2 linked regions of the Danio rerio genome follow. The protein of the gene in region 2 purifies or fractionates together with the protein of the main gene of each other region. This does not show direct contact. Links are inferred from orthologs where the notes say so. Each region holds a gene or a part of one and is shown on either strand. Other genes may lie near its edges. The genes, in order: ttc1 and limk2.

Region 1 (2,909 bases), on a different chromosome or scaffold from region 2:
GCTGAAGCTTTTATCTCGTTATATGGTATTATCACAACATTGACATACGCTGCAAAAAAGTACAGCTAGAACAACATTGCTTTATCACATATGCATCTTCAGAGTAAACAAATGTTCCAACCAAATTAAATGATAAACATGGCTCATTAGTAAATGGATTCAAACTAACAGTGATGCATTTTGATTGCATGAATAAATCAATTGAATTCTAAATTTAAATTATTAACCATTTTGCAGATTTATGCACACTTTTGGTCTCTGCTGTATCTGCAGACCATCACTCATCTCATGGCTTTAAGATATGGTTGATCTTGTAATTGATTTATCAGAAAACAAGCATTAATCGTTTGTTAACTTTTGCATCCTGAGCTTATTACATGTTCAGAACATAAATATGTAAAACCTCACAAAAATAAGTGTAAATATGAATGTTCTACAGTTCGGCAACACTCTTATGGCTGAGAGTGCTGATATTTAGTGTGATGTTATCAGTGTTTTTAGTGCGGTATTCATTTTGAAGGTTGTCTGGAAAAATGCAACCTGTTTCATGAAGGGTTTTGCTGTTAGAAAGTTCTTGTCAGGTCCATTAATTGGTTTCTTTCAAAGAGACCTTTCAAACCAAAGAACCTTGGATTTTTTTAATGGTTGCATAAGTCATATTTGAAATCTAAAACAGTCTTTCAGACTAAAAAAGACAGAAATGACTGCAGATTTATTGTCGGGAAATAAATCAGTCCCATGAAGCATTACGAATGATAATCAAATAAAGAATGACATTGTTATCATTTTTAAAGCTTGAAACTCACAACATCTTTTAAGGCTTCTCAATTAAAAGTCCGTTTCTATTTTGCTCACATAATGCTTTCACATGGCATGGTCATCTTCCCGAAATATTACCAGCGATCCATCAGATATTTTTCCCTCTCTCTCTGTCTCATTCTCTCTCTCTGTTTAAAATTGTTGATTAAAAGCTGTCATGAAATATTTTACCTCCACACCCCATAAGATGAGACAACGCATCAGACTACAGCAGCTGGATTAGTCTAATAAGGCGCAGTACTTTTTGCAGTCAGGTCTGTTTTAGTTTGGATCATGTTTTCACCACAAACTAACTGCTCCAAGATTCATTTAAAAGCACAACGAAACCACCTCTTCAAGGAGGGTCTCGGTATGATTTTTTGGTCTGCACTTTTGCTACATTCACACCTGCCCAAACGACCGCACCAAGAGGGAAAACGAACTCTAGTGCGATTCAAGCGAACTAAATAATGCAGGTGTGAAAACACCCTAATACTCCATTAATTTCCATAAAATATATTTATTGCATTTTCATGGGATGAACAGACATTTACCTGGTTACTCATTGACCTTATGCATTTTTCTATTACTGGTTAAAGTAGTCTTTTTTTATTATTATTGTCTGGTACTTTATTAGTTTTCTCTTTTTCTCCTCAGGCAAGTTGAAGGACTTGGGCAACATGATTTTACGACCCTTTGGTCTCTCAACCTCCAACTTCCAGGTCAACCAAGACACCAACACAGGATCCTACTCCATTAATTTTGTGCAGAATCCCAATAACAACAACAGATAACAATCTGAAGTCTTTTATTCTAGTAATAAACTGCCCCTTTCAAGTATTTGTAAAACTATCTAGTCATACTCCATGTTTAAAGGTATAGTTCACTCAAAAATTCGAATTTACCCCCCTTCAAGAGTTTTTAAACCATTATGAGTTGCTTTATTGTCGAACACACACACAAACACACACAAATTAGTTTTGAATATAATATGTGCTGAAAACCTGTAACCAACTGCCATAGACAGAAAACAAATACTATGGAAGTCAATGGTTCCAGGTTTTTAGCTTTCTTCAAAATATCTCATTTTGTTTTCAACTGCAGAAACTCAAACAGTTATAGAACAAGTAAAGGGTGCGTAAATTGACAGAATTTAATTGACATTTTGAGTGAACGATCCCTTTAAACCAACTCATTCATCCATGTTAGCAGAATAAGTCGTCACAGAATAGTAACCCAAGCTGTTTTCATTGGAATAGACCAAATACATTCATCAACTCATGTCAAGTGGCTTTTGATTTTCGGCATGCCAGAGTGTTTCGTTTGCTGTGAAACTGAGCAGTGAGAATAACGGCCTTCATCTCTCCATCCAAACCTCGTGACCTGCAGTATTCAAACTCACCTGCGTTCACATTAAACCAGCTGTTATTTAACATTCCGTCTGTTGTTGTTTTTGTTTATATATAGACAACACTAATTAAAATGACAGATCACATTTAAAGTGTTGTGTCTCTTTTTGGTTTGCGTTCAGAGTTCTAAAAAGAATATACCACACAGATTAGTACAAGGCCCAAAAAAATCAGGTTTAATTTCATAAAGAGATACACATTTAATACAATAAAACAATTTTACACCCACGACCACCATCTTCATATGTATAGTCAGAGGAGCTGTCCGATTGTACTGAAACGCATCTATGTACAACAGCAAGAGTGAAAATATTCCCTTTTTACAGGCCTCGGGTTGAGTATGTGCAATGAACGGCGCCCCCTATGGCTGACAATCTGATAAAGTGCAGTGTTTCCCCAACCCTGTTTCTGGAGGCACATCAGCAGAGCATATTTTGGACGTCTCCCTTATCTGACCTATTAACATTAGGTATTGGGGACTGTTCTGATGAGTTAATTCAGGTGTGTTTGATTTGGGAGCTGATGAAAATCTGTACTGTTGGTGTGCCTTTAGGAACCGGCTTGGGAAACACTGCGATAAAGCATCGTACGATTGAGAGATCGAAAAGCTGCATTCTTATTGTAGAATTAGAAAATGATCTATAAATGTGGGAGCGCACAAAAAATGAGTCGATTAAACGGAAAGTTGAAGGAATTCGTAAA
Region 2 (3,840 bases):
ATCCAGTAATGAAGAGATCAAACATCTTTCAGTAATTGTGCACGATTTAATTTTAGGACTTTTTATTTTTCAGCATTTTCCATTTTTAGGATTACGGGACTTCAGGCTGCTCATTACAGCGGGCAGACTGCTGCCAAAGAAAGTCAGTCCAAACCTCTATGTATGTGATTAAATTAAAGCACAAATCCCTGAAAGAAACAGTGAAGTGAAGGAGCGGAATTCAGATGTTAAGGAGTAATGGTGGGAAAATGAAGTCACATTTACAAATGCACGATGAGAATGCTAAGCATTTACACAGAAGTTGACAAGTCACTTCAGTACAAAAGTATACATGTGCACACCTCCCAGCACAGGTATGCATTACAACGTTAAACTTATGCTTGAGTATACGGATAACCCGATACAATGTTTTTAGAAACAAACATTGGCCAAAAAAAGATACTGGTCTGATATCAGTTTTAATTGTAACGTTTTAAAGTTTTTATACTTAAGATAATCTGAGGATTAGAAACAAAGAGTTTGGTTTGGTTTTGGTAAAACATTAGATAAAATTGTTTATGAAAAGCAATGAGAGAATATGACATTTTGGAGTCAGTCAACGTGCAGCTCTCCAGTACCTGCTGCCGCTTTGAAAAATTCAGAGCACAAAGGGAAGCCATCAATGATTTGTTGATCTTTGCAACATATTGAGTCTTTTCTTTTTAACTTCAGTTACTGTGTGCATAAAAAGCAGATCATAGTGTTCCATACTACTGCAGTGCTGCGATCTAGACACAGACACACAGGAGAATGTGACATGATTTAGAAAGAGCAAGTTGAAATAAATTCCTTAAATGCAAAACTATATGCATCCATCCAATGATCATTAGATATAATAATGGGAACAAATCATCTTGTTTACATTTGATTTGATTACAATGATCTGCAAGCTCAGCGGAGGGAAGAGCTGATGGGAAATTGAATTTAACCACTAGAATATTCCTTGTACCTCACATGAACTATCAGATTACTTCATGAATGGTACATTATAATTTCTTTATACGTATGTTACATAATCAATTATACATTATATATAAATTCTTTATGCGTATGTTACAATATTACAGAATAATATATGACACCCGATATGGCAAAAGAAAATGTGGTATCAAAGCTGAAATCGGATCGAAGTATCAGCTCGGAGCATCCCTACTTGACTACTTAATATTATTCATACTAAAACTATATATGTATTGCTTTCGTAGCCTTAACACGCCTAACTTCAATTTGACAAAACATGAAGCATGTCAACGAAGTTAGCAACGTGTCATATGGCTTATACTAAAAAAAACACATCAAAGTCATCTAACAAACACAGCCTGTTCTAGGGAGTATTGTAAAGTCAGAGCACGACCCAAACGCAATTACCCCGGTATGAAAGGAGTGTCACTGTATGTGCTGGGACAAGCAATGGTATGAGTTTATAGTTTATAAACGTTTACCATGCCGTTCCTCAGTATAATCATACTGCTTCAACACGTACCCACGAGCACAATTTCACCGTACATAAAAAGAAACTAAAGTTGTGGTTAAAAGGGAAAGTACCTCTTCCTCTATCAGGGATGTCACTGGGAGTCCATTGATCTCCAGGATTCGGTCCCCAACATGGATGGCATTCCGAACCTCAGGACTAATATGCATCCCTCTGACCCTGTAAGGATAAGATTTTGGGAGATTTGCATTGTAAGAAGACTGGTCAAGAATGAAGAGATAAATGTTATCGCTTTTTTACTATGATTTCGGTTTTAGTAAACACAAAAACAGTGCCATGTTAGGGCCCTCAATCTAAAACGAGCAGTCGTATCACCACAGTTATGCAACACATTCCATGTGGCATTAACAGTGTCTCTGGCATGGGGTGTGGTGGCATTGTAGTGAATCTTTGAGGTGATAAATAACTTCAGCAAGAATTTATTCCAAGAGTTTTTTCAGTAACATGACTGCTAGCCAAACCAGGACTCAAATCAAGATCTTAAGCAAGGCATCAAGTGTTTTCATGTTGATTCTTAATGTCTTCACTTACTCTTTAACCTGGACGCTGGCAATGGCACTGGTGCAGTCTCTAATCACGCTGACAGAGAAGCCTCTTTTGCCATTGGTGGCAGCAGGCATGGACACCAGAGTCACTGTGTGAGGGAGCAGGTCTGATGGAGAGTCAGCCAAACCCCGCTTCTCCAACACTGGTGTCAGGACCACCTGCTTGTAGCATTTACCACTGGACGTAGGAAAAATAAAAGAGAGAAATAGTGAGAAGTTGATGAGCCTCTCAGAAGATTTCAGGACAAGACCTGACAAGTGCAAGACATGTTATGAAACTCTCTGATGTGCGCCAACTTGCCTGTGCTTTTACTGGAAACAACAAACGAAGATATACAACAGATTATGAACTAAAGCATTATGATTATGAAATTTGTAAAAACTTTATCTGTATGGTCCAGATCTAACATTCACAAATACATACACACACATACAAGCTTCGATTTACTTTTAAAGATGTTTCAAACAAATGATTTTCATGGGTAGTCTGCAATTAATATGTGATTGTGTTTTCAAATTTGTATAATTTTAGTTTAAACTGTGTTATTTTTATTTTCTTTAATGGAAGGTTCCACTTATCGTTAAAAAATAATAACAAACAAATACATTTACCTAATTACCTACATTATCTGACTGACCAAGTGCTGGAAAAATGTGCCCAGTGCAGTTTCATTCAAAAGTTCACACAAGTGTCATACAATATTTCATGTAACACGTCAAGATTTAATAAAAGTACAGATTTGCTGCTTATTAATAGGTGGTGAGATTGATGGGTTCAGGTATTGGGTAGGATTAGGCATGTAGAATAAGATTATGCTTTATAAAGTACTAATAAACAGACAACATCTAAATTAAAAACAGGTAATATGTTACTAGTTACTTAAATTTTTACTTAAACTACAGTGTTTTCGAATTATTATTATTATTTTTTTCAAATTATCTTACAAAAACCCTCTTCTCTGCAATGTTATCCTGTTGAGCCTTATAAATGGTACCTGAGGCAGTAGCTACATAAGGAGATGGAGTACTTAATAAAAATCAGTGATCCTAGTATTTTAAACTAGGACATATTTACATTTTTTTAGTGATTTGTCAGGATACACCTCTCAAAACTGGGACATCTGGTCACCCTAGCTAAGATATCAACACAGAGGAATCATCACTACAATTAGTACGGCACACAGAATGGAGGACTATAAAGTAACTTACCAGTAAAGTTTTGTACGTTCCACTAAGGCATAGGTGTCTCTATCTTCAATCACCACCCTGCAGCTCAAACACACAAAGCATTCGGGGTGGTATTTATAGTCTCCTGCCACCTGAAACATACGAATACCCCCGTTCAGATTAGATCACGGCTGCACAGTCTGACGACTTCACTTCAAAAGCCCACACTGGACATCCCAAAAGAAAATCCTCAGTGCCAGGAACCCCAGCCTTGATCGATATCCAAGAAAGTCTTTCTGGAATTCTCCTGTGCACTCTTGGTGCTATCTCTGCCAAGCCCAGGCGTGGTGGATCATGCTTTCATTGTGCTTCATCTGCTTTGTGTCGATGTACTGTCTTGGTTGAGTCTGCGTTCCTTGGCAGTGACGTGGGTGTGTGTTGTCTTTTTCTGTAACACCTGCAAGTGTCTGGGCCTGCCTGTTATCTGAAGTGACATACAGCCACCGCCCCCTTCCTATACGCATAATCCTATGCCCTTAGACAACCCCTCAGTTGTGTCAAACTTTGCTTAAGACCACCTACCTCTATCCAATGCAT

Evidence for each region.
Region 1: the proteins of limk2 (region 2) and ttc1 purify together in Homo sapiens (affinity purification with mass spectrometry; 3 studies listed by BioGRID and IntAct, counting the BioPlex papers as one, with this or other methods). This does not show direct contact. The link is inferred for Danio rerio from reciprocal best matches to the Homo sapiens genes LIMK2 and TTC1.

The regions. Positions count from the first base shown.
Region 1 is NC_133196.1:32,670,345-32,673,253, forward strand, and holds the end of ttc1 (tetratricopeptide repeat protein 1), read left to right. Parts: intron 1-1,455; coding exon 1,456-1,592; 3' UTR 1,593-2,231; downstream 2,232-2,909.
Region 2 is NC_133180.1:21,574,002-21,577,841, reverse strand, and holds part of limk2 (LIM domain kinase 2), read right to left. Parts: coding exon of another isoform or gene 3,826-3,840; intron 3,396-3,825; coding exon 3,286-3,395; intron 2,255-3,285; coding exon 2,063-2,254; intron 1,691-2,062; coding exon 1,585-1,690; intron 1-1,584. UniProt on the Homo sapiens protein: Serine/threonine-protein kinase that plays an essential role in the regulation of actin filament dynamics. Acts downstream of several Rho family GTPase signal transduction pathways.